Linked DNA regions of Oryctolagus cuniculus. The protein of the gene in region 4 interacts with the protein of the main gene of each other region in a pairwise test. Links are inferred from orthologs where the notes say so. Each region holds a gene or a part of one and is shown on either strand. Other genes may lie near its edges.

The links.
Region 1: the proteins of MAP2K3 (region 4) and PDGFRA come close enough for resonance energy transfer, tested with the Homo sapiens proteins (2 studies listed by BioGRID). The link is inferred for Oryctolagus cuniculus from reciprocal best matches to the Homo sapiens genes MAP2K3 and PDGFRA.
Region 2: the proteins of MAP2K3 (region 4) and FGFR4 come close enough for resonance energy transfer, tested with the Homo sapiens proteins (2 studies listed by BioGRID). The link is inferred for Oryctolagus cuniculus from reciprocal best matches to the Homo sapiens genes MAP2K3 and FGFR4.
Region 3: the proteins of MAP2K3 (region 4) and ARNT come close enough for resonance energy transfer, tested with the Homo sapiens proteins (2 studies listed by BioGRID). The link is inferred for Oryctolagus cuniculus from reciprocal best matches to the Homo sapiens genes MAP2K3 and ARNT.

The regions. Positions count from the first base shown.
Region 1 is NC_091439.1:109,895,969-109,902,988, reverse strand, and holds part of PDGFRA (platelet-derived growth factor receptor alpha), read left to right. Parts: intron 1-826; coding exon 827-1,074; intron 1,075-4,746; coding exon 4,747-4,894; 3' UTR 4,895-7,020. UniProt on the Homo sapiens protein: Tyrosine-protein kinase that acts as a cell-surface receptor for PDGFA, PDGFB and PDGFC and plays an essential role in the regulation of embryonic development, cell proliferation, survival and chemotaxis.
Region 2 is NC_091437.1:63,109,955-63,117,578, reverse strand, and holds the start of FGFR4 (fibroblast growth factor receptor 4), read right to left. Parts: upstream 4,750-7,624; 5' UTR 4,614-4,749; exon of another isoform or gene 4,569-4,613; intron 4,248-4,568; exon of another isoform or gene 4,079-4,247; intron 2,648-4,078; 5' UTR 2,614-2,647; coding exon 2,523-2,613; exon of another isoform or gene 2,509-2,522; intron 1,923-2,508; coding exon 1,659-1,922; intron 1,570-1,658; coding exon 1,489-1,569; intron 1,389-1,488; coding exon 1,222-1,388; intron 596-1,221; coding exon 472-595; intron 13-471; coding exon 1-12. UniProt on the Homo sapiens protein: Tyrosine-protein kinase that acts as a cell-surface receptor for fibroblast growth factors and plays a role in the regulation of cell proliferation, differentiation and migration, and in regulation of lipid metabolism, bile acid biosynthesis, glucose uptake, vitamin D metabolism and phosphate homeostasis.
Region 3 is NC_091438.1:47,194,731-47,202,372, reverse strand, and holds the start of ARNT (aryl hydrocarbon receptor nuclear translocator), read right to left. Parts: upstream 4,703-7,642; 5' UTR 4,535-4,702; coding exon 4,510-4,534; intron 4,451-4,509; exon of another isoform or gene 4,430-4,450; intron 1-4,429. UniProt on the Homo sapiens protein: Required for activity of the AHR. Upon ligand binding, AHR translocates into the nucleus, where it heterodimerizes with ARNT and induces transcription by binding to xenobiotic response elements (XRE).
Region 4 is NC_091448.1:65,865,976-65,873,763, forward strand, and holds the start of MAP2K3 (dual specificity mitogen-activated protein kinase kinase 3), read right to left. Parts: upstream 4,525-7,788; 5' UTR 4,287-4,524; coding exon 4,238-4,286; intron 3,584-4,237; exon of another isoform or gene 3,572-3,583; coding exon of another isoform or gene 3,547-3,571; exon of another isoform or gene 2,775-3,546; intron 2,166-2,774; exon of another isoform or gene 1,893-2,165; intron 1,642-1,892; exon of another isoform or gene 1,449-1,641; intron 1-1,448. UniProt on the Homo sapiens protein: Dual specificity kinase. Is activated by cytokines and environmental stress in vivo. Catalyzes the concomitant phosphorylation of a threonine and a tyrosine residue in the MAP kinase p38.

The DNA.
Region 1 (7,020 bases), on a different chromosome or scaffold from region 4:
TTTTTGACACAAAGAGTGGACAGTGGGAGAGAGAGAGACAGAGAGAAAGGTCTTCCTTTGCCTTTGGTTCACCCTCCAATGGCCGCCGCGGCTGGTGTGCTGTAGCTGGCGCACCGCGCTGATCCGAAGCCAGGAGCCAGGTGTTTCTCCTGGTCTCCCATGGGGTGCAGGGCCCAAGCACTTGGGCCATCCTCCACTGCCTTCCCGGGCCACAGCAGAGAGCTGGCCTGGAAGAGGAGCAACCGGGACAGAATCCGGCGCCCCGACCAGGACTAGAACCCGGTGTGCTGGCGCCGCAAGGCTTAGGATTAGCCTAGTGAGCCGCGGCGCAGGCCCATATATCTATTTTTAAGAGTAATTTATTTGAAAGGCAGAGTTAGCGAGAGGGAGAGGAGGGGAGAGAGAGAGAGATCTTCATCTGCTGGTTCACTCCCCACATGGCAGCAGTGGCCATGGCTGGACTGAGCTGAAGCCGGGAGCCAGAGGTTCGGGCACATGTCCCACGTGGGTGCAGGGGCCTAACCACTTGGGCCATCTTTCCCAGATGCATTGGCAAGGAGCCGGATGGGAAGTGGAGCAGCAGGGACTCAAACTGGCATCCATGTGGGATGCCGGAGTCACAGGCTGTAGCTTAACCCCCTGGGCCCCTGGCATCCCTGTTGGTGGGCCCCCTCTCTGGGGATGGCTGGCCCATGCCCTTCCGTTGTGTGACGCTCGCAGCCAGGAGCTGGTTTGCAACGGGCAGTGACCTCGCCTGCGTTCTGAGGGTCCAGTCGGTGTCTGTTGGCTCCAGCGCGTGCTCACCTGGGTCCGCGCGTGCTTGCAGAGCTATGAGAAGATCCACCTGGACTTCCTGAGGAGCGACCACCCCGCCGTGGCACGCATGCGTGTGGACACCGACAGCGCGTACCTGGGCGTCACCTACAAGAACGAGGAGGACAAGCTGAAGGACTGGGAGGGCGGCCTGGACGAGCAGAGGCTGAGCGCCGACAGCGGCTACATCATCCCCCTGCCCGACATCGACCCCGTGCCCGAGGAGGACGAGGAGGACGGGGGCAAGCGCAACCGGCACAGGTAGGCAGCCCCCAGCGCTGCCGGCGCCCCTCGCGCCGCCCACCGCCCCCAGCACTGCCAGACCCCGGGGGCTGTGCGGGGGGAGGGGGGTCTGCAGGAGCCGTCAGCCTGCCGAACGCCGGGGGGCTGCATGGCTTTGAAGATGCGCCCCAGGGGACTCCGAGGCGTCTGCTGGGGCTGGGGCTGGGGTTGGGGGCGTGTGTGTGTGCATGCGTGTGCATGTGTGAGTGCATTCTTGAGAGTGTGTGTGCATCCATGTGATGAGTGAGTGCATGCGTGTACATTTGTGTGTGAGTGCGTTCATGAGAGTATATGTGTGTGCATGAGTGTGCATTCATGAGCGTGTGCTTGAGTGTGTGAGTGCATCCATGAGAGTACATGCATGCGTGTGCATGCGTGTGCATGTGCGCATTCTATGAGAGTGCACACGTGTGTGCATGTGGAGTGCATTCATGAGAGTGCACATGTGTGTGCATGTGGAGTGCACTCATGAGAGTGTGCATGCGTGCGCATGTGTGTATGCGTGTGCACACGAGTGCATTCTTGAGTGTGTATGCATGTGTGTGCGTGTGTGTGAGTGCATCCATGAGAGTGTGAATACATTCATAGGAGTGTGTGTGTGCACCTGCATGTGTGTGTGTGGGGGGTACTTCCCCAGTGGGTCCAGACCTTTGACCTGAGCCCTCGGGGACCTGGTCAGTAGCTGCTGTGCTGAGCGCAGCCTGTGCCGCTGTCTGAAATGGGCCTGGAGCTGAGGGGACGGATGGAGGAGACGGATGGAGGGAGGTGGCTCTGGGGCCTCTGACGCACCCCCGTGCTTGCCACGCCTCCGAATCACCTGGCAAGGCTTTCTGTTTATCTCCTTAAAAAAATTATGGGGGCTGGCGCTGTGGTGTAGCGGGTAAAGCTGCCACCTGCAGTGCTGGCATCCCATACGGGCGCCGGTTCGAATCCCAGCTGCTCCGCTTCCCATCCAGCTCTGCTGTGGCCTGGGAAAGCGGTAGAAGATGGCCAAGTCCTTGGGCCCCTGTGCCCACATGGGAGACCCAGAAGAAGCTCCTGGCTCCTGGCTTCAATGTGGCCCAGCCCTCTCCCTCTCCCTCTCCAATTCTGCCTTTCAAATAAATAACAAATAAAATAGAAATAAATAAAAATAAACAAAGCATTCTTGAATTCTTAGTCCTCCTTTGAAAGGCAGAAGGGCACAGACGCAGAGAAAGAGAGAGAGGAAATATGCTCCGGTCCACTCATTCACTCCCCAGATGTCCCAGTGGCCGGAGCCGGGCCAGGCCGAAGCCAAGAACCAGGAGTTCTACCTGGGCCTCCCCTGTGGGTGGCAGGGACCCAATCATTGAGCCTCCCAGGGCGCACAGTCGCAGGAAGCTGGAACTGAAACCCAGGCGTCCATACGGGACATGGCCATCGCAGGCGGCGTCTCAGGCGCGCACCGAACCTGCACCCGAAACTCGCCTGGAGTTCCGTTTCCAGCCAGCTTCCCGCCTGGATGCGTTAGTTCATTATCAAGACACGCAACGGCATGAGAACCTTGGTTCCCGGCGCCCAAGCCCCAGGCGCTGATCGTGGCCTGTTTAATTAAGGTCCACGTGGCCCGGGGTCCTTTTCTTTCCTTCCTGCCTGCTCGTTCCGTGAGCTGCATGCAGGAGCACGTGGCGTGGTCGGGGCCCTCGGCACAGCTGCCGGCAGCCCTTGTTGATCTGCGTGCACCCGGTGATTTTGCAAAGTACAGCTTTGGCTTCTTCTATTTTGGGAATCCTCGACTGGGGGATGCTGTTTTACTGTGTGTTTATGTTCCTTTAGTAAACAAACCTGGGGGTCTGTGTTGGAACGGGGGCGCCAGGGGGAGGCTGGGTGGAGGCCTGGGGGCTCTCTCCCCTTGGAGGCTTTGTGTTTGGGGGCTCTGAGGCAGTGTGCCCCAGATAACAGCCCCAAGTCAGGTGGGACTGTAGCCCTGAACCGCAAGACGAGCTGGCCCTGGGTGAGGGCATCCCAGAGCCGGGGGGAGCTTTGGGCTCAGCTGGGCAGTCAGCCCCGAAGTCACCTCCTTCTAGGCTCAGGACATTGACCTTGGGGAGGGAGTGGGCTCAGGGGCACTGGCCACTGGGTGTGGGCAGCTGGGCGAGCCGCGGGAATGGGCTGGTACTGGGTCTCGGGGTGGTCAGTCCTCCCTGCCCACACCCCTGTGTCCTCCAGAGGAAGAGCAGGGTCAGGGCCTGGCTCGGCAGTGCCCATCCCAGCGCCCACGGCTGGGCTGGGTCCACATCCACATCAGGTCCCGGGCGAGGGGCCGCCCTTGGACGGTTGTCGGGATCAGCAAGTGGATGGGATTCGGAGGCTCAGGACAGGTGTAAGTGCAGGCAGAGCTGAGGCCTAAGGAACCCGCAGCCCGGCAGCCTCCTGGGGCCCAGGAGGAGTCAGGGCCGCAGGAGTCGTGGGTGGTGGCCGCCGTGTTCCCCAGCAGGACGTGAGCTGTGGGACTCAGTTCTCTGCTTGGCAGGGGATGGGGAAGGGAGGGGACCCTGTGTCCTCACTGCTGCTGGTCCCACGTTGGACAGGGACCTCCTCGCCGGCAGGTGATAATCTGGAGGGGCAAAAAAGACCTAACGTGGACAGCAGCGCAAGGCAGGATGGCGCTAAGACAAGAGGTCTCGGGTCACAGGTCACAGGTCACAGGTCGCAGGCTGGGTCTTCAGGGAAGAAGCCAAAAAAATAGTGCATGAGCCTCCCTCCCACTTAGATTGCACAGTTGTTGGCAGGTGTTCAGCTCTGTGTGGCATAGGTTATTGCGTGTCAGTCACATAGAGGGGACTCCAGAAATGGCGCTGGAGATAAGCTGTTTTTGGTGCCGAAGTGTTGGAACCCACGCGTGGTGTGTTCATGAGGCACGCCCCCTGCGTGCGTCCTCACGTTTTGCTAGTGGTTGAGTCACTTGGAACTAAGTAAGGGACACCAGGACATGGCTCCCACGCACGTGCCCGTGAATAACACCCCTGCCCGCGCCCGCCGTGCCAGCCCCCTGTGCTGCGCGTGTGGGCCCAGCTCAGCCGTGGGTGAGAAGACAGGAGGGGCAGCACCCACTGCCGCGTGCCCTGCCCATGCTCGGCACTCACGGCTGGTATCTTGCTCATCAGCCGAGCAGGCGTGCTGTGAGCGTCCTTGGCATGCCCTTCGTGTAGGCAAGGAGGTACGTTCAAGTTCATCAGGCGGAGGGTGCCACCCGGGGGAGTCCACTGCAAGGCCCCCCCTCCCCCTCTCCAGGAGGCAGAGAGCCTTCCCCTGGGAGGTCCGGACTGGGAGCCCTGGGGTCACAGGGGCAGGGGGCCTCCCGGCACACAGGCGTCCCTGTCCCCAAGAGCAGGTGGCTGGCCCGGCTGCACCGCCCCCAGTGCCTCCCTCTGCTTGTCATTCCCGCTGCCTTGTGTTTGTGCATTGCTGGTTTCTCTTCTGCTGGGATTGAGTAGGGAAGATGGGCTCGGTGGCCGCCGGTTGGCAGTGCTGAAGGAAGGCGGCCGTGTGTGTGAGGTGGGCTGCACGTCCCGCCCCCTGCTGTCCACATGGCCCCACGTGGCGGGAGGGGCGGTGCTGGGCGCCCCCTGCAGTGCGGCTGCGATGTGCCCGGTGCTCAGCCTCGTGCCCTCTGTCTCTAACCTCCAGCTCGCAGACCTCGGAGGAGAGTGCCATCGAGACGGGTTCCAGCAGCTCCACCTTCATGAAGAGAGAGGACGAGACCATCGAGGACATGGACATGATGGACGACATTGGCATGGACTCCTCGGACCTGGTGGAGGACAGCTTCCTGTGAGCCGCAGGTCCCCGCGCGTTCCCGGAGCTGCCCTGGGATCCTTTTCAGAAAACCACTTTATTTGCAAGGCAGAGGTGGAGAGGACGACGTGGGGGATGCGGGACGAGGAGGCCCTGGCCCGGGATTCTCCGGGGCGGGGCAGGGGGAGCCGTGTGACCAGCCTCGGAGGGGGAATGGGACGCTTGGAGGTGGACGCTGCTGGCACTGCCTCTGGATTCGCCAGCCTCGGCGGCGTGGGGGGTTCAAGGGCACGGTGGACCCCGGGAAGTGAGCTCTGGGTCTCAAGTCCACGTGCACAACCGGAGTCGCACTGAAGTTGCAGTGTCGCTGTTATGTACATAAATCTGAACGCAGCCCTGGTGAGAGATGCGTCCGTCTCCTCTGGACTTCTGAGACACCACTCAGCCCAGCCGTGTCTTTCCCTGTCGGAGCCTGGCTGCCACTGGCTCTGGACTCCCAGTGTTGTACAAAACCACTTCGGAACCTTCAAAGGTGCTGGTCTTGGAGCATCTTAGTCGTGCGTAGCGCAGAGTCATTAACCAGCCTCGTTTAATAGACGTGTGTCGTTTAGAAGCCCCAAGCCGCGTTTTCGTATCGTAACCTATGTTTGTAATCATACTACTGTCATTAGTGATGCTAAGTGTGTAACACGTAACACGGGCTCCTGCCCGAGAAAGCACAAGTTAAAAAACAAAAAAAAGAACCCTAAGTAGGTGACAGGTTTGCAACTTTTGACACTTTCTTTTTTTAAAGAGCTTATGTTTCCCCATAAATGATGTTGATCACCGCAGTGGGTCGGACATCAGAGAACAAGGTCACAGTTGTCCCGGAAGTCATGGACTTTGGTTGTGTACAAGTCGCTCCCCCTGCCCGCGGTACTGAACGGGACGAGAGACGAGCCCAGGTCCCCGGTGTCAGAGTCCCCCGGGCCGGCATCACCCTGAGGGAAAGAGCAGCAGAGATCCTGTCTGGCCTCAAAGAGAAAGTGCTAGAAACCCGAGGCTGGGAGTGGGGGTGGTGGTGAGTGACGGCCGTGTGTGTGTGCCCCGGCTCTCTGGCCCCCAGGGAGCTGGCAGCCCGGATCTGGAGTTGGGAGTGGATGGGCAGCCGGCACCCGTGTTCTGTTCTGATGAGCCAAGTTTCAGGAGTGCTGGCTTGGGTTCCTGGGGGTTGCCGTGGGAAAAGCAATGATTTGCAATTTGGAGCTGGGCTGGAGGGCCACCATGCGGAAGCCTGCTGTGTAAGTCCCCGGCGCCTGGCTGTGCGTCCAGATTGCTACCCTCAACTTAATCCAGCCGGCTCAGCTGAGGGTCAGGGTCAGGGTCAGGACACTGGGCGTGGGCAGGTCTTCTTCAAGGTAAGGCCACTGCTTCTCCCTGCCTGGAGGGGACGGACCGGCTCCTGCCCGCCCGCACCCCCAGCCCGTGGACAAACACCTATAGAAGTGATGCCACTCACACTGCTGCCTCTCTGCACAACGAGGCCAGCATTTTGCTCCAAGAGGTGAACCATTTCACTGCTATACCGGGGTTAGACGGGACGATGCACCGTGACTCACGCCGGCCAGGGTGGGTTCATGGCGTTCTCGGCCGTGTTGCTTAATTGCTGACACCCAGGGCGCGACACGTGCCAGGTGCGGGAGCCACCCCGAGGTGCTTTCTCAGCCACCCTCTGCGTGGCCAGTGTGTGCTCTGAGCTGGATCGGCCAGCTAACAAGCTGACCGGGTTCTGTAGCACCAGCGAAGCCTCTGTGTGGCTGGAACCGCAGCTCGGGGGTCCTCGCTCCGTCACCTGCCCCTTAACAGTCACTGTTGTGGCCACTCTGGTCATCGAAGCCCCAGGCTTGCACGTCACCACAAGACTGGGTGCAAATCCGTGGCCAGGCTGAGCCTGGGGCCGCATTGTTAGTTTTTGCTTTTTTTAAAAAAGTGTCCCGTGTATCTCCAATCTGTGTCCCGTTTGCTTCCTGCAAAATCCCCAGAGAAAGACAATTGGCCACTGCTTCCCACTCTTTGATTTTTTTTTTTCCTGATGACAATCAAAGCCGGCGTGGGCGACGCAGCGTGCGGCCGTGCCCGCGCCGTGGTCTGCCCGCGTGCACAGAGCGGTCCTGTTTGTCTGAGAGG
Region 2 (7,624 bases), on a different chromosome or scaffold from region 4:
GCGGGGAGCGCTCTGGGGGCCGGGTCGGGCCGTGAACCCTGAGCAGCGGCACCCGGACAGGCACCCTGCTCCCCTGCCTCTTCCAGGAAGGCCCTTCCTAACAGGCAGCTCAAACCGTGGCCAGCGCCCGCTACCCTACTTAAACCTTCTATGGCTCCCTGCTACCTTTGGGTGAAGAATGACTTCTCAGCCTAGCATTCAAAACCCTCCAGGGCCGGGTCCCCCGTAAATGCCACACCTCAGACGGGCATCTCCTTGCAAATGCACTGCACCCCTGCACTCTGGTGCCTTAGCTGTGCTGCAGCTCTCGGCCCCCCTGCTCTTCTCATTCCCGCTCTGGGCAGACCCCCTGACTCCGGGTGTCACCCTCTGGGCCACCTGGTCACTTTGAGCTGCTTGCCCCAGCTGAGGCCCAGTCTGTGTTACCTGCCCTGCCCCCCATGCACGGCTTCCCCCCGCCCATGCGCTCACCCAGCACATCCAGCAGGTAGCTGTAGCGGATGCTGCCCAGAGGGTTCTCCACCAGGCAGGTGTACGTGCCCCGGTCCGAGGGCACCACGCTTTCCATCACCAGGCTCCAGTGTTGGTGGCGCAGCTGGGGCAGAGGAAGGGGCCGCCATGGAACCCCCATCTCCCAGAGGGGACAGGGCACGAGGAGGCTGCGTCTTGTCCACAAGCTTAGACTCTGAGGTCAGGCCAAGGGTGTAGATCTTGGGACACAGGAGAAGGCCTGGGGGACCTGAGAGCCTGCGGTGGGAGACTTTTGAGTCTGCCTCTCCCTCGCTGGGCCACCTGAGCATGGAGTGATTGCCCTCTCTGAGCTGTAGCTTCCTCTGTGCAGGCCGCACAGGAGACCTGGAAGAAGCTCCTGGCTCCTGGCTTTGGACAGGCGCAGCCCTGGCCATTGCGACCATTTGGGGAGTGAACCAGTGGATGGAAGACCTCTCTCTCTCTCTACCTCTCTGTAACTCTGCCTTTCAAATAAATCAATCTTAAAGAGAGAGAGGAGATGCCAAAGCGTCCTGAGGCTTGCTGGCCCGGGGTTCTTCCAGCCGCACAGTTGGGGTTGCTGAGCGGGGAAGGCACTTGGTGGGGTAGCCGGATCGCCCCAGTCTGAAGCCTGGTGCTTCCCAGTTGCCTTCCACATTAGATTCACAGGTGCCAGGGGCCCGGGGGGAAATGAAGTCTGGGAGCAGATGGTCTGGGACTCCACAGCCTCACCCGAATCCCTCCAATGCGGTTCTCCCCATGGAAGGCCTGTCCGTCCTTGAGCCAGCGGATGGTGGGCATGGGGTTGCCTGCGGCTGGGCAGCGGAACTTGATGGTGTTCCCGGCAGGCACTGCATGCAGTTTCTTCTCCATGCGCTGGGGGTGTGTCCAGTATGGAGCTGGGGGGGGAGGAGGTGGGCGTACTGAGTGCCCCCCACCCCTCGTTTCAGTGACCAGATGGGGCGATGTGGACACGAGTCCTGGAAGCCTCACACCGACCTTGCTGAGGGTAACTGTGCCTGTTCGGGGAGCCCCTGTGGGCCTTGGGGTCCTCAGGATCGTCACTGGAGACCGAGGAGTCTGTGTCAGGGACAGAGCAAGCATCTGAGGACCAAGAGAGGGAGTCTCTCTCCCCGGGGACCTCAGCCGCCCCCGCCAGCCCCTCTTACCATCCACAGCCAAGGTGAGATTGTGCAGGACCGTCATGGAGCCTCGAGCCAGGCAGAGGTAGCGGCCGGCATCCTCGGGCAGGAAGCTGGCAATCTCCAGGCGGCCCCTCCAGCCCCGCACCCGGCCGGCAGGTGCTAAGCGACTGCCCTCCTTGTACCAGTGGCCGCCCCGCTCAGCCCGCCTGCAGCACAGCCGCACGGGCTGCCCAAGGGCCACGGTCAGTTCCTGCTCGGGCTGTTCCAGGCTGGGGGCTGGGCAGGGTTCTGTGGGCCGAGCACAGAACGCAGTGAGCCCCGCCACTCCGATGGGAGGCGGCCCCCTTGCGTATGAAGAACATGCTGCCCACGTGGGGCCCGGGCACCCAAGGACACGTGCTGGACATGCCACTCCTCCGCACGCAGCTGTGGGCCCACGCCACAGCGCCGAGGTGGGCCACACGCACACAAGTACTTGGCACGCATGCTGGACATGCTACACTCGGGACACACGTACACACACATACACAGACACTCAAAGGCACATGCTATACGTGCCACACGTGCTGCCTGGGCCGCCAAGCTACACACTGATGCACAGAACACACACACACACACACACACACACCCACGCAGCCAAGCGCTCACCCCCGGCTCTGCAGCCCAGCTGAGGGCCCAGCGCCCTGCAAGGCCCGTCCTCTGGAGCGCAGTGATAGATAGTGGCCGCTTGCTGGGAGCCAGACACAGAGTCTCAGAGGCTGAGGCCTGCCCTGCCACCGCCTTCTCAGGGCTTGGGCTGGGACCCTCTCCGGCTCTGCTCAGCCAGCAGCCCCCTCCCAGGTTCACGCTTCCCACCCCTGCGACCCTCTCCCACCTTTGGGGCCATACCCAGCTCCACTTCCTCAGAAGCCTCAAGGGACAAGGCTGGAGCCCCAGGTGCCCCCAGCAGGACCCCCAGCAGGGCCAGTAGCACCCACATCTTCCTGCAGCTCCCAGGACTCAGGCTGGAACTCCTGGAACAGGGGGCAAAAAGAGCAGCTGCCACACGTGCGTCTGGGCCAGCGCTATTGCCCTATTTTGCAGATGAAGAAACTGAGGCAGGTTGGTCCAAGCCCCTAGCCCGGCTGTGGCAAGGCAGAGACTGGAACCAGCTCTGTTGCTGCTGCCGCTGCCGGAGCCCAGGGCCTCCCCCTGGTTGCTGGTGCAGGGGGAGCTGGGCTCGGCTTCCTGCTCTGCCTGGGTCCTGCTGAGACCCTGGCACAAGTTCACAGAAAGAGCAGTTTGGGGATTCTTTCCTTGGAGCGAGGCAGAGAATGGAGAAATATCTGCTGTTCGCTCTCAGCACACATAATTTACTTTTTGCTGAATAAAGAAATTTATTGCTGAAGAGCCAAAAAAAAAAAAAAAGTGAAATGTGATAGCAGGCCAAACGTCAGCAGCTGCATGTTGTTGGGGCTGACCCCTACCCCTAGGGTATTCCTGGCACCCATGCCTAGCAACTGGGTGCTTGCACCAACAAGGCAGCACTCCCCACGTGGAGCAGGGAGAGGGCCTCATTCGGAAGCCCCGCAACCCCACACAGGAGTTTCTGTAGACTCTAAAGTGTCAGCACCAAGTTCAAGTCTCGGCTCCCACCAGCTTGCAAGTCCTGGGCTGTCCCGCTCCAGGCTGTTTTGAGATAAAAGCGGTGATATATGTGGGGACTAGGCACGTGGCATACTGGCATGTCCTCCCCGCCCCTCTTGTCACCTGTCACCCTGGTCTGCCCTCAGCCGGTCAGCTCTGGTCCTGTCAGGTACGAGGTGCACACCCATCTCATTTGGTCACTTTCTTCCCAGTGCTACTGAGCACGTCTCTGTCCCCCCAAAGGAACACTCAGAACCAAGCAAGGGGACAGGCTGTGGTCCCAGGCAGCCACTGGCTATTCCCTGGGGCTGGGTGCCAGCCAGGTGTCAGTGGTGTCTGCAGATGCGCCTTCCTGGAAGCCCACCACATCTCTCTGCAGCCGGGTCCCCCCCTCCCAGCCCTCTCTGTATTTCCTGTCCCTCCCCGGGGCAGGCCACGGTGGTGTCTGCTTGGGCCTTTGCAAACCTCCTCTGTTCTCAGCCTCTGCAAGGGCTTTGGGAAACACACGTCTGTCAAGTGCCCCCTCCGTCGGTTAAAGGCTCCCTGCACCCTGCAGGAAGCAGTCCCCGCGGCTCGTGTGTCTCCCAGGCCCCCTCTCTGCCCTGGCCAATCTCCCTTCACGAGCACGGAACCCACCGCCTTTCAAAACCCGGCGCCTCCGTGCCCTTCATCCCTCTTCTCCATCCCGCTCAGCTCTTTCTGTGACTGAGCCCAGCCCACCCCAGGGCTCCGCAAAGCGCCCCCTCTGCCTCGGGGCACAGCTCCGCGGGCAGTGGGGTGGGGACGCCTGGGACCCCAGGCTGCCCTGACCTCCCAACCTCAAACCTTGGCCGGGTCACCGCGGCGGCTGGCCACCCGCCCGGCGCGTGGGACCAGAGCTCCCGACTCCAGCATCAGACGGTCCCGGGTTATCCAGCCTCCGCACTCCCGCGCCGGAGGGCCCTGGGCCAGCGCTGCACCTCTCCGGGCGTCGGCCTCCCCTGCTCTGCCGCCCAAGGACAAGAGCGCTCTCCCCACCCGCCCGGCCACCTTCGGGGGGAGGTGCGAGCCGAAGGGTCCCCCTCCCCCGGGAGCTGCACCCGCCCCCGCCCGGGTGGGCAATGAGTAACCAGCTCCGTGGCCACGGTGCTCTTTGGACGGAGCGGGACAAAAGGCCCTGTGTGCGCTGTGGGTTACTGATTTACCGCCCTTCCACCCCCGCGCCGAGAGGACGCCCCCGTGCCGGGAGGGGGCAACCCCTGGACCCCGCCGTCGCTCGCCCCCTGGCGGCAGGGGGTGAAGTCCGGGCCCGCACGGGTCCTGGCTCACCTCGAACCTGCGTGGCTCCGCTGCCCGCACCAGGGTCCTGCTCACCTGGTTCCCCCGCGCCTCGCTCCCTGCTCACCCGATCCCCGCGCCCGGCGGGGCCTGCAGATAGCCCCGGCGCTGCTCCGCCCGCGGCGGGAGAGCCAGGAATAAACTCGCTACAGCGGCGTGGCCGCGGGCAGCTGCCCAGCCCCGCCCCGGCCCCGCCCCCGGCCGGTAGTACCTCTCAGGGGCGTGGCAGGGCTCCGCAGCCACGCCCACCTAGGTCCCAAAGCGGCGACCCAGCATCACCGCCAGCCGGCCAGGGCCAGCCTGGCTACTACAAGCCACCTCCTCCGGCCCACCCAGACCCCTGGCGGGGCTTCCAAGTTCTCGTCCACTGCCCAGCCGTGTCTCCTGCTCGTCACCCCTCGGGGAAGGAAACATTGACCCTAGCCTTGCTCCGCCATCTCTGTGCAGTGGACTGACTGCCCCACGTCCGCTCATTTGGCAACCTGCACAGTGACAGTTCTTTCTAGAAAATATTTATTTATTTATTTGAAAGGCAGAGTGACGAGAGAAGGAGAATCAGAGGTCGTCCATCTGCTGGTTCACTCCCCAAATGGCAGAGCCAGGAAGCCAGGAGCCTGGAAGTCCATCGGCATCTCCCACGAGGGTGGCAGAGGCTGGGCCATCTTCCACCTGCCTTCCCAGGAGCATTTGCAGGGAGCTGGATTGGAAACAGAGCAGCTGGACTTGAACCAGTGCTCTGATTTGGGATGCTGGTGGATGTAAGCGGTGGCTTAAGCCATGGAGCCTCAACTCCAAGTCCAGAGTGATTTTTTAAAAGATTTATTTAGGGGGCCAGCGCTGTGGCATAGCAGGTAATACTGCTGCCTGCGGTGCAAGCAGCCCATGTGGGTGCCGGTTTGAGTCTCAGCTGCCCCACTTCCGATCCAGCTCTCTGCTATGGGCTGCCCCAGCCTGAGAGATCTGGAAGGGAGGAGAGGAGAAGAGGGAGGAGGAGGAGAGGGGAGGGGAGGGGGAAAAGAAAAGAAATCTCTCTTTTTGGCAATGTGGCAATGTAGTTTATGGTTTTTAAAAGTATATTTATTTATTTATTTATTGAAGAGACAGAATTACAGGGAGAGAGAGAGAAAGGTCTTCCATCCCCTGGTTCACTCCCCAAATGGTCACAATGGCCAGGCTGGGCCAGACCAAACTCAGGAGCCAGGAGCTTCTTCCAGGTCTCCCATGTGGGTGCAGGGGTCCAAACACTTGGGCCATCTTCCACTGCTATGATCAGGGAGCTGGCTGGGAAGTGGAGCAGCCAAGATTCAAACCAGCGCCCATATGGGATGCTGACATCTCAGGTGACTGCTTTACCTGCTATGCCATAACGTCAGTCCCACCTGAGTTATATTTTAAATACAAATCTGACTGTTTTATCTTCCCCTTTAATTTTCCAGTAGCTTCTCACAAAATTATATATAGGTTTTTAGCATAACCTGGCCCCTGCCCACATCTCCAGATTGAACCTTCATGCCCTTTTATCTTGCTCCCACCCTGCCCCTGGGCCTTTGCATGTGATTTCCCTCTTCCTGGAACGCGCTGTCCCGTCTTGGTCTGGTGAAGTCTGTCTCCTTCTCAGGTCCTGCTCCTCTTGCTTCTTCTGGGAGCACTGAGCTCACCGGGTGCTGCAGAGCTGCCTTTTCCTGAGTGATTCAGAGCACAGCTTGCAGCACTGGGCTGTGTGCCCTCACCTCTCAGCACTGTCGCACACAGCCTTGGCGGGTCCCTCCATCCCTGTCTTCATCCTGTTGGCAGGAAAGTGGTAGCTGATAGCATCAACCTCAAGAGGTTGTTGCAAGAAGCAGACCTGTGGGTGTGTGCAAAGCCATCATCCAGCATTTGCTTTGCAATGCTAGCTGTGATTACTTCTTATTTTTTTAAAGAATTATTTTATTTATTTGAAAGACAGCATTACAGAGAGAGAGAGGTCTCCCACCCGCTGGTTTACTCCCCAGATGGCCGCAATGGCCAGAGCTGCACCGATCTGAAGCCAGGAGCCAGGAGCTTCTTCCGGGTCTCCCACGTGGGTGCAGGGGCCCAAGGACTTGGGCCATCTTCCACTGCTTTCCCAGGCCATAGCAGAGAGCTGGATTGGAAGTGGAGCAGCCGGGACTCGAACTGGTGCCCATATGGGATGCCAGCACCGCAGATGGCAGCTTTACCTGCTGCACCATTATGATCACTTTTTGATCTGGGATTTCTTCATATTTGCCAGTATTGTAGCTGAACCATCAGGAATGTAAATGATTGTGAAGTGTTCCCTCTGGGGAGGCAGGAGCTGTGCCCACGGACCTGGCCGCCGTGTTAAGTGCAGGGTACACGCAGGTGCCTCCCAGATAGCTCCACTCTCGGTGTGCTCTGGTCGGCCTCACCTGCAGAGACCCATGCTGCGGCCAAACTAGAAGGCCAGGCACCCTCTGACCCTCTGACCTGTGACCCCTCACCTGAGACGAGGCCCTCTCCTCCCCCGCAGGCTCTGGGAGAAGCGCAGAGGCGCTGCCCGCTTAGCAGCTTCCGTCCGTATTGTCATGCGAGAGTCCAGCTCTTCCCGGCCTCACTCCGAAGGCGGGTGGGGGAGGAAGGGGCATCTCTTTGCATAACTAAAAGGCCCATTAATGCAATTTTTTGTTTTTCCTTTTCAGACAAAGGAACACCCTCTTCCCCAAAGATAAACCGGAAAAGAACTGGTTCTCCTTTAAAAACAGTTTGTCAGAATCCATCCCCAGCCCCCGGCCTGGCTGCAGTGCCCCGGGAAAGATGAGACTCCTGCCTTGGGGCGCTGCCCTCCAGGGAGGGGCCTCACCAGACCCCAGGTTCCCAGAGAGGCCCGGCTCTCCATCTTTGGTCCCTTAGTAAAGAGGTTTGTGGGGGACAGAGTAAGCACCAGCAGCCGTCCGACCCTGCCCCGCGGCTGGCGCTCACAGACCAGGGCCTTTCCCAGCTTTATCCGAGCCCTGCTAGCTCACGGTATGTGAGCAGCCGCCTTGTCTCCCTGGATGCCTACCCCT
Region 3 (7,642 bases), on a different chromosome or scaffold from region 4:
CTACTTCTTAATGTTGAAGAAAACAGAAGATTCAGGTTGGTGCCACAGATCTACTGCAAAAGAAGTATGCAAAGAGGTTCCTTTCAACATGTTAATTGTATTTCAACTGCTGAATAAAATACATTTAATACTTCTTTCTAAAATTTATTTCTTTATTTGAAAGGCACAGCATCAGAAGGAGAGGGGCTAGGTGAGATGATCTTCCACCTGCTGGTCCACTCCCCAAATGGCCTTAACAGTCAAGTCTGGCCAGATCAAAGCCAGGAGCCAGGAACTCCATCCTGATGTCCCATATGGCAGTGGGGACCCAAGCACTTGAGCCATCGTCCACTGCACATCTGGGCGCAATAGCAAGAACTTGGATCAGAAGCAGCAGCTTAACCCACTGCCCCACAACACTGTACCCTATCTAATAATTTTTGAAGAGGTCTTTGCAGTACACCATAGTCCTGACATCTTAATTTTATAATGCTTAAATTTCTACTTTTCTATATCTCACAAAGGCAATTAAAGGTAACATGAATTTTGTTAATTGATGATTTTAAAAGATTAATTTTATTTGAAAGGCAGAGTTAGAGAGAGAGGATGAGAGAGAGAGAGATCTTCTGCCCGCTAGTTCACTCCCCAAAAGGCCACAACAGCTGGAGCTATGCCAGGCCGAAGAACCAGGAGCTTCCTCTGAAGCTCCCACATGGGTGCAGGGGTCCAAACACTAGGGCCACTCTCTGCTGCTTTCAAACGCACATTAGCAGGGAGCTGGATTGGAAGTGAAGCAGCCGGGATTGGAACTGGCACCCATATGGGATGTCAGCATCACAGGCGGCAGCTTAACCCACTGTGCCACAAAATAGCCCCTAATTCACGATTTTAAAACCATAATTTATATAGATCAAAATTATATATAAAAAAAATTTCCTGTCAGCCTTACAAACCCAGTGCTCCCTACTTTACCTTCTATTTCATTCTCCATCCACAAAAAAAAAAAAAAAAAATGTACATAATAGCACAAAAAGAGTTCTGGACTAATGAGAAACTCGAAGGAAAAATCTATACTCACTACAGACTTATTCACAACTTTGGTTTGCACACTGACTTGTAAACTAAAGCAAACCTACTCTCTTCCCAAGTAGTCTTTTAGCCAATGCATTACAAACTGCACATCCTATTTAAAAAGTGTTTCTCAAGCTTTAGTAATCCATAGGTAAGAAAAATATAGCCCAAGATTTCCTGAGCCACCTATCCACCCACTTCTACTTGCCATTGGTAAGCAGAACTAGTTAAAATTGATAGAACATGACGAATGATCAATTCATGCAGAAAAAAGTCATCATCACATTAGAAAGTATTACTTCAATACAACTCTTAGAGACAGGATATCAGATCTTACTCTTCCTCTGATCCAGTACCACGTCAAGCCAGAATGAAAAATACAGAAGAGGGGCCGGCACTGTGGCGTGGCAGGTTAATGCCCTGGCCTGAAGCACCAGCATCCCATATGGATACCGGTTCTAGTCCTGGCTGCTCTTCTTCTGATCCAGCTCTCTGCTATGGCCTGAGAAAGCAGTGGAAGATGGTCCAAGTCCTTGGGCCTCTGTACCCGCATGGGAGACCCAGAAGAAGCTCCTGGCTCCTGGCTCCGGATCAGCGCAGCTCCAGCCGTTGCAGGCAATTGGGGAGTGAACCAGCGGATGGAAGACCTCTCTCTCTTTCTGCCTCTCCTTCTCTCTCTGTGTAACTCTGACTTTCAAGTAAGTAAGTAAATAAATAAATAAATAAATCTTACCAAAAAAAAAAAAATACAGAAGAAACAGGATCCCTAAAGACACTGAAAAACGACCAGCAATCTCTAAATTATATTCCAAATACAATTAACATGACCAAGCACTGTTATTAAGTCTAAGGATTAACTAAACTGAACCTTAGAAGAGTGGATTATTTTAAAAGTCTTTTGTAGACATAATGTAAAGATAAATCAAGAATTGTACGGAAACTTAACCAGTAATCCAGCAAAAATACAAACTAGAAAAAAATTTAAATAGGTATCATGTCCACAGTCCCTAAAATGATTCTAAGCAAAGGTGTGCTGAGGCAGTAAAGAATTCTGACCTGAAAACCATTTACTTTTTCACTGGGCACAGTAAATTTCCACCCAATGTCCCTCCATTCATGGATCTCGTTTCCCAAAATGCAATAGGCTTCTCAAAAACCTACAACACAGTTACAAGAGTATTTCAAAAAGTTGATGGAGGGGCCAGCACTGTGGCATAGAAGGTTAAGCCTTCACCTGCAGCGTTGGCATCCCATATGGGTGCTGGTTTGAGTCCCGGCTGCTCCACTTATGATCCAGCTCTCTGCTATTGCACCTGGGAAAGCAGCAGAAAATGGTCCAAGTCCCTGGACCTCAACACTCACGTGTAAGACCCAGAAGAAACTCCTGGCTCCAGATCAGCTCAGCTGTGACCAGTGTGGCCACACAGGGAGTGAATCAGCAGATGGAAGACCTCTCTCTCTATCTCTATCTCTAACTCTGTCTTTCAAATAAATAACTAAATCTTAAAAAACAAACAAACAAAAAAGTGATTTTCGGGGGCGCTGCGATTAACAAAGATTCTGCACCAAAAATGTGGTTTTTTTTTTAACATTTATTTTATTTATTTGAAAGACAGAGTTACAGAGAGAGGTAGAGCAGAAAGAGAGGTCTTCCATCCACTGGCTCACTCCCCAGATGGCCGCAATGGCCGGAGCTGTGCAGATCCGAAGCCAGGAACCAGGAGCGTCTTCCAGGTCTCCCATGTGGGTGCAGGGGCCCAAGGACTTGGGCCATCTTCTCCTGCTTTCCCAGGCCATTGCAGAGAGCTGGATTGGAAGAGGAGCAGCCAGCACTAGAACTGGCGCCGCAGGCGGGGGATTAACCTACTGCGCCACAGCGCCGGTCCCAAAAACATGTTTTCTTTTAAGACATGTAAGCTGATATTGATCAGCTAATGAAAATATGGTCAAGAGATTTTCATTCAGCTGGCTGTTGTTTAAAACAAAACAAAACAAAACAAAACAACCCCACCCACAGCTGGGAAAAAGCTTCTGACATATGCCCTAAAACTTGTTTACCCAGACCACTTCTTAATAAGAGAAATACTTTACAACTTGACTAGGGTTATATAAGTATTTTGCAATGTGTGATCAGTTTAAAATCTTGTTTATTTACTCCCTAGTTCACAGATAGATTATCTTACTACAAGGTCAGCTTTGCCATAACAGCATTTTTCCAATTTTATAGTTTCAGCTCATCACTCAGGACTTCCTCCAAGGAATTTTAGTCATTAATTTCATATCCTTTTCCTTTTAAAAATAATTTACAAGTTTTCTAATGATATTGGCATGTGCCAAATCATTTCTTAAAATAGCTCTGCTCCTAGAAACATGGAAAGACAGTAAATTTCAGCGATTCAACTATGATATCAAAACTTGAGTATTGCAAAAATAGTATTACATTTCCAGACATGAAAAAAAAATTAATGTTCAAGAAATTACACACAGAGATACACACAAACACATCTTCAGCCCTTTTTAAGGCTATCAAAGATTTGGATTTCTGGGAAAGGATAGCTTTTATTTTGCAAGGGAATGGCCAAGGTCAGGAAGATAAACTAGGCGCCCTAAAATGAAATGCTTCCTAAGGAGAAGTATCTATAACAGCGAAAAGGACTTGTACTAAGAATCAAAGATTTGCCATCTCCAGACCGGCACAGCAAGCTCCACCCCCAACACTTGAACATGACTGGTTAAATCTTTTTAATGTTCACTGAGAAATGGCATGGAACTAAACTTCGCAGAAAGAATGGTAACTGCTTCGACCTAGGCCTCACGAGATTTAAACCTGGGATTCTGGACGAAAGATCTCTCCTGACCCACAACCATTACAAAACTCGCCCTCATTAGCTCAAGACACTAGAGGCCCTTTTAACACATCAAGTTTCAAGGTATAGCCCCCGAGTGAGAAGGGGGGACCGGAGATACAGCCTACAGAATCTGAGCGTACAGTAGTCACACGATTTTAAAACTTAAAACCAAACGCTACAATGTTTGCAAACAACCTCCAACAGCAACGAACTCCCGTGTTTATGAATCTAAACTACTTTTAAAGTGCACCGAGCCACTCTGCCCACAGTTATTCGACATCCAGCAGCCTGAGGGGCCAGCGGGTTAAAAGAGGACCACATCACAGACCACAACGCCGCCAGCGGAGCGGAGGCGGGCCCGCCGAGCTCCAACCCGGCTCCCGCAAGGAACCCCCAACTCCCACCCGCCCGCTCCCTCCCTCCAGCCCGGGGCTCCCCGGTCCCCGGGCCCCTCCCCCAGGTCACTCCCCTCCCCCACCTCTCCCCGGCCGCCCACTCCCGCCCCAGCGCCTTAAACCCCCGCTACCGACCCTCTGCCCTAGATCTCCTCACTTGTCAGCCCCTTCAGCTCCTCCCCCTTTACAGGCGCCCCAGTCCTCCGTCTCCTTACCCGGGTTAGCAGTAGTCGCCGCCATGGCCCTAGATGCCACCGCCGCCGCGCCACCCCCCCAGTGGGAGGAGCCGCCGCCACCGAACGCCGGGGGGCGGGGGAGGGACGAGCCACTCCCCAGCAGCGGCGCCCTACTGCCGCCACCGCTACCGCGGAATCCAAGATGGCGGCTGCGGCAACCCCCGCCGTCCCCGGCCCAGTGGTGGCTAGGCCCCGCCCACTCGATGGGCCGGGTCATTCCTCGTCCGGCCTCCTCTGTGGGCACGGGCCAATGGAAACGCCAAGCCGACCAGGGGCAGGGCTGGTCAGTGCGCTAGGCCGGCCACTGGAGAGAGAGCGAGGAAGAAGTCCAGCTGTCTCCGTAATCCTGCCTTCCTTGCGTCAGAAGTCGGTGACCAAGTGACATCAGTGAAAAACAAAGTGTGTATTTTACTAAAAAGCTTCTCTTAGTGGTGGATTCAGCCGTGAGGTCCCCCTGCAGACTACTTTTGTGAATCGTCCTTAGGGATTCTAATACTTTTAACTTCTCATGTGATTTGTAGTCCTTGTTGGTGTTTTTTCTCCCTCTTTAAAAGACATTTGTCCCTGCCGAAAACAGTTCAATAGGTAATTTTTTTAATTAGACAGATCGCACCTGCTGGTTCACTGCCTTGTTGCCCACAATGTCTGAGACAGGTGTGGAAGAAGCCAGTAACAAACCGGGGCTCCCACGTGGGTGGCAGGAACCCAACTGCTTGAGCCATCTCTGCTGCCTCCCCGGGGTCTGCATTGGCAGGAAGCTGGAATCCGGCCAGCAGTGCAACCCAAGCCCTCTGATGTGGGATGGGAGGCTAAGTATCTTTGTAATGGTTAGACTAACCACTGGCCCCCACTCGCCCAATAACTAATTTTTGAATGCTTATTATTAAAGTGGTGATCTAAAAAGATCTCAGTGTTTACAGGCTGATAAAAGATACCAATAGCCAAAACTGCAGGCAATGGACAAGGAAGATACTTTGATTTAAAGTGCAGTGGTTGTTGTGGCAAGGCAGGTTAAGCTGTGGCTTGGGACACCTGCACCCTTTGTCAGAGTGATGGTTAGAGTCTCTGCTCCTCCATGCTTGTGATCCAACTTGCCTGAGAAGCAGCAGATGATGGACCAAGTGCTTGGGTCCCTGCCACCCATGTGGGAGACCAGGATGGAGCTCCTGGACACTGGCTTCCACCTGACCCAGCCTCAGTTTGACCATTTGGGGAATGAGCCAGTAGATGGAAGATCTCTCTGTGTCTGTCTCTCAGTCACGCTGCCTTTCAAATAAATTAATTTAAAGAAAAGAAAGCAGTGTAACTTTGTAACTTCATTTAGTCATAGGAACATAATGATACGTTTTTAGTAGGGGAGTGGTAAGAAGAGGACTTTACAGATTTTTTTTTTAAAGATTTTATGTATTTGAGAGGTAGAGTTACAGACAGAGGGAGAGACAGAAAGAAAGGTAATCCATCCACTGGCTCACTCCCCAGATGGCCGCAACAGCCGGAGTTGAGCCAATCCGAAACCAGGAGCCAGGAGCTTCTTCTGGGTCTCCAATATGGGTGCGGGGCACAAGCAGTTGGGCCATCTTCCGCTGCTTTCCCAGGCCATAAGCAGGGAGCTGGATTGGAAGTAGAGCAGCTGGGACACGAACTCGTGCCCATATGGGATGCCAGCACTGCAAGTGGAGGCTTATCATACTATGCCACAGTGCCGGCTCCTACAGGTTTCTTTTCTAATAATAAGAAACTGCCTGGGGCAGGCGTTGTGGCCCAGCGGGTTAACGCCCCAGCATGAAGTGCCAGCATCCCATATGGACACTAGTTAGAGACCTAGCTGCTCCACTTCTGATCCAGCTCTCTACTATGGCCTGGGAAAGCAGTACAAGATGGCCTAAGTCTTTGGGTCCCTGCCCCCATGTGGGAGATTTGGAAGAAGCCCTAGGCTCCTGGCTTCAGATCCGCACAGCTCCGGCCGTTGCAGCCAAATGGGGAGTGAACCAGCGGATGGAAGACCTCTCTCTTTGTGCCTCTCCTCTCTGTAACTCTGACTTTCAAATAAATTAAAAAAAAAAAAAAGCTGTCCAAAATCCTTTATACATATTTATTCAATACTCACAATAAAATAATAAGGTAGATCATAGTATTATTTCCATTTTGAAAATAAGGCAATAGAACAAAGAGACTTAGCAAAGGACACTCAGTGAGTACAGCAGTGGTATGGGAGGCCAGTTAAGATGTTTGAGTTCTGGGGCTGACATTGTAGTGCAGCAGGTTAGCTGCCGGGGCCACAAGTAGAGGCTTAGCCTATTATGCCACAGTGCCAGCCCCAAGTCACAAATTTTTTAATAACAGCTGGAGTAGGCCGGCGCCGCGGCTCACTAGGCTAATCCTCCGCCTAGCGGCGCCGGCACACCGGGTTCTAGTCCCGGTCGGGGCGCCGGATTCTGTCCCGGTTGCCCCTCTTCCAGGCCAGCTCTCTGCTGTGGCCCGGGAGTGCAGTGGAGGATGGCCCAGGTGCTTGGGCCCTGCACCCCATGGGAGACCAGGAAAAGCACCTGGCTCCTGGCTCCTGCCATCGGACCAGTGCGGTGCGCCGGCCGCAGCGCACCGGCCGCGGCGGCCATTGGAGGGTGAACCAACGGCAAAAGGAAGACCTTTCTCTCTGTCTCTCTCTCTCTCACTGTCCACTCTGCCTGTCAAAAAAATAAATAAATAAATAAAAAATAAATAAATAACAGCTGGAGTAAAAGTCCCTTCTTTGTGCTAATAATAATAGAATCCATTTTTGTTATTTCAAGTACACTTGCTCACATCGGAGCTATGGTTTGTTTTTTTGTTTTTTTGTTTTTTTGACAGGCAGAGTGGACAGTGAGAGAGAGAGAGAGAGAGAAAGGTCTTCCTTTTGCCATTGGTTCACCCTCCAATGGCCGCTAGGCGGAGGATTAGCCTATTGAGCCATGGCGCCAGCCCAGAGCTATGGTTTTGTTAATCGGAATGTTTTACATCAAGTTCTAAATGCCATGATTTTTTTCTAGCTCATGTTTTTTATTAACCAATCCACGATTACTTGTCTTTTGATTGGTTGAAGCAGTAAGTCACATGACATTTACCACAATCACAT
Region 4 (7,788 bases):
CTGTGATGTTCTATGCATGGGTGCCGCAACAGGGATCTCTAAGAAAGGGCGAGCAAGGGTCAGGGGTCAGGACAAGGTCACACTCCTGACCGACTTTTGTGACCCTGGGCCATTGTTTAGTCACTCGTAAAACAGGGTGACAACCACACCCTCCCAGATGCCGGGTGACCACGAAGGCATAATGAGAGCGTGCATGTAATGTGTGTGGCACGCACAGGCCAGGGGCCCCCACGCACCAGGCTTCCAGAATCCTGTGGGGTCCTTGCCAGACCTTCCGAGAAACATGGCGGAGTTTGGGCCTGGGGTCCTGGGGAGCTTCAGGCTGTGGCCAGGTGCAGGCGTCTGTGCACGCCAACCAGTTGAAGCCCCTTCCCTCGACCAAGGCCCCGCTGCCTTCGTCATTACCACGTCTCTTAAATGGGCCAGGGCAGAGCCAGGCTGGGAACCTGGCAACCAGGGTAGGGTGCCCAGTGCCAGCGGCAGGAGGCTGAGCCAAGACACAGACAGGCAGAGGACAAGCGGGGTCGGGGCATGCCCTAAGCCCTCGCTTGGCTGTCCCGGCCCTGATGCGGTACGTCCTGCCCAATGCCAGCCACACTGCCCCATCCCTGCCCACCTCCCCCAGGCTCCATCCCCAGGAAGCCTGCCCGGCACTGGGCATGCCCGCCTCAGCATAAGCCTTCAAGGCTGGTGGTACCAGTGCCCGTCGGGGGGCACCTTCCAGCTGCTCCCCCTGTGTTTCTCCCCAGGGACCCCTGCTGAGACCCTGGCCCTCTAGGCCAGGCACCCAAGCTGGGCCTGCACCTGGGCTGCTCACCCGGCCCGGGCTCCATGCAAGTGTCCCCCATACTATGGGGCTGGCCCAAGAGGATGCATCCCAACTGCCCTCCTAGCCAAGGTTCCCCTGTTCAGCCTTGGAATGCCAGAGATAGGGCAGAGGCAGATCTGCGGGCTCAGGAAAGCCCAGGAGGCAACCCTACCTCCAGCCTAGGCACCAGTGGGGTAGGAGGCGCCAAAGCCCAGGTTCCACCTCCACTTCCTGCCTCTGTGGGCAGAGGGCAACCTTGCTGTGACCAGAACCTGACACGAGGCAGGAGTGGAATGCAGCTGTCTGCACCCGGGCAGCCAGGGTCCCCTGCACCCATTCTGCAGGTCAGGAAACTGAGGCCTGTCCTCGCTGAAAGCTGGGCCCAGGGAACGTCAGTCATTCAGAGTGCAGGGAAGGGACCAAGCGCGCGACTCGCCCAGTGCAAGTAGGGGCAGAGCTTGGAACTGAGCCTGAGCCCTTAACCACCGCCGCCACCCCACCCTCCCGCCCCATCGTCCCTGCACCGCGGCCGCCACCGGCTGACCCTGCACGGCCTCCAGCCCTCACTCTCCGAGCCCCCAGCTGCACGGCTACGCCTCAGGAGTCCCCTGGGCCAAGGGCGGAAAACAGCCACAGCCACCTGCTTCTGCTCCGTGAGCAAGAGGAAGCGGAGCCCCTTTGCCTGACAGAGGAAGTTCTTGGGTGAGCAGCCCAGCCTGCAGTCCAGGACGGGCCCCCTCCGGCACCCCAGCTCAGGGCCGGGTGCTGCTGGCGGGGCCCAGGCAAGCAGCCCCGTCCCAGCCAGCAGGCCGGTGGGCAATGCCCCTTTAAGCTGCAAGCAGCCGGCTGGCGTGCCCGGTGGGTGAGTCAGCGCCCGGTGCCCGCTGACTCACCGGAAGCCTCCACTGCCCCGGCCCTCTCACCACACAGGGCTGATGGAGAACTTTGCTCCTCTCGGGCCCAGAGCCACATGCTGGCTGATAGAGAGTTTCCTGTGCGTCACGACAGGGGTGGGGGAACTCCCCAAGGTGCCACCTTCCAGTGTTTCCGACAGCCGGGATTGGGGGACAGGGCTGTGCAGCGGGGGGGCGGGGGGGGACAGCAGCCCCAGCAGGCAATACTCTGCAGTTTCAGGGTGCCCTGTCTGGCAGCCTCCCCAAGCGGCCGAACCCAAGACGGGAACAGCCAAGGACAAATGCGGCCCGTAGACCCAGACCACGCCGACCACGTGTGTCCCAGCACCAGCTGCCCGTGACCTCTGACCCCAGCCGGAGACAGCACGTGGGCCGGGAGGCCAGGGCCCAGGCCCTGCCCAGAACACAAGCAGGACATCCACTGCAAGGCAGGAAGTTCTGAGGTAAAAGCTCTCAGGTCACCCAGCAGCCACTCCCTGCTCTGTCCGAATTCCCTTGAGCAGGTCGAGAAAAGCTCCATGCTGGGGGCCTGGGGCCCAGGAATGGGGGGGGGGCATACGAGGCAGGCCTTCTGCTCTGTGGCCTCAGACCAGCCACTCCCCACCCCACCCACCACCAGACCTCAGTTTTGCATCTGCGAAATGGGCTGGCTTGCGGCAAGCAGTCAACACTCCAAGTGCACGGGGCAGTGCACAGGATGGGCAACACTTCTGCCTCAGCCCACCCTCCAGGTCCAGGAGGGACGCGGGTGAGGGTGGGGGCGTCCCCCTGGCCAAGGCGAGCACCCAGCACAGGAATGGGACACGGGACCCCTGGGGAGACCACCATGGACACAAACGGTGCTGGGTGGAGAGCTAACTCGCTCTGTGACACCTTACAGCTGTGACACCAAGGTTCTGTTTCCTTATCTATGGAGGGCCCCTGACCCTCCACGCAACCCCCTAGGTAGGCATCATCTTGCTCCCTGGATCCCCAAGGCAGAAATAAACCCAGGGCAGGGGGTGGCCCCAAGTCACACGGCACCTGGAGCATTCTTGTCCCTTCTTCCACAGCCCTGCAACCTCAGCGGTTTATTCTGCCCTGCCTGGAAGGGCTGACACGGCTTCAAGATCAACACGGCTTCCCACCCCTTCCCGACCCTCTGGAGCCGAGGAGTGTCTGATTTCCCGGTTCCCAAGCTCCACAAGGTCTGTGCGTGGAGCAGGGCCCTCCCCGGCCACCTCCCCGGCGCGAGTGCCTGCTGAGTTACTCAGAGGTTGGGCAATGCTGTCGGGGATCCGGCCTCCGGCTTACGTAAGCCGTAATTACCCTGCCCACCCGGCTCCAGCCCACAGCCACCGCAGCCACTGGCAGCAGGGCCCAGGAAGGGCCCACACCCTCCCCAGGACCCCTCCAGGGAAGGAGGGGAGCAGAGGGGACAGCCCCTGAACAGGCACCCACTAAGTGCCCAGGCGCCCCCCCCAGGAGACTTCCCTCTTGCAGCCGCATGGCTGAGGTCTCTCCAGCAAGGGGGGGGGGGGGTTGAAAACGGCAACAGTAACGCTTGCAACAGCTACTCCCTTCCTGCACACCTACTGTGTGCACCTACTGTGTGCAGCTGAGCAGGCGCCTTGCTGGCTTGTGCACCTGCTGACCCCCTCTCTCACGTCACACGTCCCTGTCCACAGAAGTAGGTGTGACTGTCTCCCACCCCCCATCTCACAGATAAGGAAACAGACCCAGAGCCCGTCATGGGGCTCCCCAGGGCGAGGCAACAGCAGGTTCACAGAGCCCATTCATTACAGCCATGTCCGGTTTGGAAACCCCTCCCACCACCCAGCCTACCGAGACTGGGGCACGCCAAAAACATGCTCTCCTCTTCCTGAAAAAAAAAAAAAAAATTCCCCTTTCACCCTCCAAGTCTCATCCACCGCCCTCTGCATGACAAATGCTGCCGCCGCAGCGGCCACCGCACAGAAATTTCCCGGAAGGCCAGTGGCTTGCAAGAGACCCTGTGCTGAGCAGGCACCTCTGGCCCGGGGGCTGGACCTCCCCCCACCTCCGGCGTCCAGGCGGCTCAAGGCCAGCCCAAGTGCAGGGCGAAGCTTGCAAAGTCAAGACAAGAAGGAGCAGTCGTGGCGGGGGGCGGGGGGGTGTCCCGGGGAATGGGGCTGCCGGACGAGGGTCCCGGCGTGCAGGGGTTCCAGGCTGGGGGAAGACAAGACGCGAAGCCCCGAGCGCACCTGCCCCGGCAGGACGAGCGAGGAGCCGGGGCCCAGGCGCGGAGTGGGAGAGAGACCCCAGACTCGGCCCTGGGGCCGGGAGCTGGACCCGGACGGGGGGGAGGGGAGGGTCCTGGGGGCTCCTTCTTGGGTCCGCTTGTGGCGGGAAGCCCGGGAGAGATTCCAGGAGGATGGAAGGCTGGGGGCAGCCCGGCCACGCCTGCAGGCGCACTCCCCAGAGGTGGCGGCGAGGCTGCGGCCCCGGGGCGCGCTGGGGAGCTGCGGTCCCGGGACCGTGCAGAGGGCGCGCCTACCTTTGGACTGCGGCACGCCGGCGGGCTGGCCGGGGGCGGGCGACTCCATGCTGCAGGCGGGCCCCGGGCGGCGGCGGCGGCGGCGGCGGGCGGCTAAGCGAGCGTGCGGCGGACCCTCACGGGCCCGGGCGCGGCCATAGCTGCGGACGGGCGGCCCGCGCGAGGCGGCGGCGGCGGCGGCGGCGGCGGCGGCGGCGGCGGCGGCGGCGGCGGCGGCGGCGGCGGCGAGGACCCAGGCGGCCAGCAGATCCCGACTGCGGCGGGCGGCGCCGAGGCCCGGCCGGGCGACGCCGCGGGGGGCGGGCGGGGCGAGCCCGGTCCCGCGGTCGGATTGGCCCGGCGGTCTCCAGGGCCCGGCCCCTGCCTATCAGTGCTGGCCTCGGACTGCCCGTCAAACACGAACCCCGCCCAGATCCGGCCCCGCCCCTCCTCGGGAAACTCAGGCCTCGGCAGGCTCCGCCTCCCGCTGCCTGTCAAGATGCAAGCCACGCCCATGCCGGGGGGGGGTGCCCGCCGAGCGCGCGCGTCCCGCGCTGGGCCACGCTCCCAGCTCCGCAGCCCCTTCGGCGCCCCGCCCCGGGCCCCCGGGCTGTTCGCGGGAAGGAGCCAGAGGACGGTGGCGTTGTCGGTACGTTCTGCTCAGGGGCAGTCCGGTGCCCAGGTCGCTGCCTGGCGCTGCGCGGGGCCCCTGGCCTCGCTTGGGCCTCCAGCTGCCGGACGGCCGCGCCCTCCGTCTGCTCCCGCACCGAGCCTCGTGGCGGGGTCGTGGCGGGGTGGGGTGGAGACCTCAGAGGCCGCTGACCCACCTGGCCCCAGGCTTCAGGTTACTCGGGCCGGCAGAGGTCAAGAGGTCGCAGGCTGGCCTCCGGGCAGGATCTCACACGTGAGGGCGGCAGGTGCCACCCCCTACTGTGTGCACCGCAGGGGGTGATGCCCGCAGGCCGCACCCACTCAGGGGCGAGGTCCGGTGGAAAGGCGAGCCGCAGGCCGGCTCTGTGGCCCCGGAGCGGCCACCGCAGCTCCGTGCCGCGTGCGCGCCCCTGTCCCGGGTGGGAGCGCATCTCCAGCCACTCAGGCCTGCAAGCCCCCCGACCCCCGTGCAAGGACCTGGCAGTCTCCCCAGCCCGGGCAAGGCAGGACTCCACCTGGGCCCACTTCCTGTAGGAGGCCAGGCATGGGGTTCAGGACCCATCTGCAGAGTGGGCACCCAGCGGTGGCGGCCTCCCGGTCAGAACTAAAGCCCCATCCAGCAGGTTCTCTGCCCCAGCTTCCTCTCCTCCCGCCGGCACGCCCCTCCCCGCCCCGCGGGTATCCACAGCTGGGGGCTGGCCCTGGACCTGCCCACGCCCCTCATGCCTGCCACCCCCCACCAACACCAGGCTTCCCAGGGCTTGTCCCCTTCGGTGCTACTCCGATGCCTGCTGGGTGGCCAGCCCCGGTCAGGCTAATCCTCCACCCACGCCCCTGGTTCTGCCTCATTTTAGCCCTGCGCTCACGTGCCCTGCTGAGCGGGACGGCTTTGGGTCCCACTCCCTGCAGCGTTCCCACTCCACCCCCCGGCCCACTGCGGGCCCAGGGAAGCAGGAAAGGGTGGCATGGCCAGGGGTGAAGCGACTCTGGGCCCGGACCGGCCTCCGGGGCAGTAGGTGACTCAGAAGAGGTCCTCGCACGCACGTGGGGAGTTGATGGCTTAGTCAGAGGACCTGACAAACGCCCCAGGAATCACAACACTCCACGTGGGGTGCTGTAAACAGGTGCATGAGCTGCTGGACTCCACCTGGGTGGGGTCCTGGAAGGCTCCTCGGAGGAGGTGACTTGGCGACTGCTCCTCTGAGGACCAGTTAGGAGGTTGCGAGGCAGAGAAGCAATGGTGGAGGCCAAGGATTGGGGAGAGCGAGAGCTGGGGGCCCCCGGTCCTTCTTCTCTCACTGCCCTCCTGCCTCTCAGTGGCACGGCCAGGCCCAGGGGTGCCACGACCACTCAGAGCCAGAAGGTGAGTGACGGCAGGCTGCCTCTCACCTTCAGTGCCAAGCAGGCACCGGGAAACTGAGGTTGAGGTGGGCGGGACGTGGGCTGACAGAGGCCTGGAGAGAGGGCATAGGCCTGGATGCGGGCGGGCGGCTCATTCCGCATTCATTGCACAGACTTGGATCTGTGGGAGCAGCAAGGCAGGCAAAGCGGAGCGCCCGTTTCAAAGAGGTGCCCGGTGAGCAGAGCAGGGGAGGCAGGGGATGTGTTGCAGGCATGGGGGGTGGAGCTGATACGTGCAAGGCTGGGGGCCGAGAGGGGATGGCTGCTAGGGGAGTCTCAAAGAGACCAGGCACACGGTCCCAGTTCTCAGCTAAATGCACTCCTGAACTTGCTGATTCTCATGGGCTTGCACAGTTTCAACCCCATGTGCTGGCCGCAGTACCCAAGCCCACCGGCACACACACACACACACACACACACACACACACACACACACAACAGGGTGCACGCGTGTGGTCATGCACGGGCACGCGTGCAGTGGTGGACCCAAAACACCTGCAACAGCTGCGCACAGCTGTGTACTTGACTCTGCCACCAGCAGGGGCCGCCACGGCTTGCTGGCCCACAGCGCCCTCTGGTGGTGAGTCCTGGCACAGCCATGCTCCGCAGCACCGAACCCAGGACCAGCCAACACCCCCACCCTTCAGCTTCCAGGTGCCTGGGCCCCTGCCGACCGCGCACACCCCCTCGTGTCCAGCCACTCCCAGCCCAAGCTTCCTTGAGCCTCTCTTTGCAAAGGCTGCGCCCTCAGCCAGAAATCCCCTCCCCTACCTTCCCCACCCCTCTTCCAAGGATCAGTTCCTCTTGTGGACCCACTATGCTGCAGAGCACACAGTAGGTGCTTGGAAGACACTGGTGGAACACAGGAAAACTCACGCCATCCCGACAAGGTGCATCTGATTGCTTTCAGGTACGTTTACCTAATAATAATAAGAAGAAAACAGCGTGGCTCAGAAAGGTGCTGGAGTGTGCCCAGGGCCATTAGTGGCAGAGCTATGACTGACATCCTGGTCTGTCTCGTGAAGATGGCCCTCCCTACCCCTTCCTGCCACACACCCTTCTCAGCAAGACAGCTGCCACCTGGAAAGAAGCCAGCTCCTTGCCTCTGGCAGTATTCTCAGGGCCAGCCTGTCCCGCTCCCTGTGGGCTACACAGAAGCTCCCTGGGGTCCCAGCAGCCTCAGTCTTGGCACTTCCTGGCAACTTGATGGCCTGGTGAAGCCGGTATGGCTAGACCTTCACCTTACCCATTAGGCTTTGAGCCCAAGACTTGGAACAGCTTGCCCAGGTCCTGCTGCCGGGCAGGAGGAAGCCAAATTTTTACCCAAGTCATCGTGATAATTTGACGAGCCTGCTGTGCTTGGAGCTCATCCCGGATGGCTTGCGCTAGTTCCCTGGGATCTGAGCCTGTGGGGGTCTTTCTTACCATATTGCACCATGGAGTGCCCATGGTCACAAGGCAGCCCCAGGAAGAAAAGACACAGCAGCACACCTGGACAGAGCTGGCTTCCACCAGCTGCC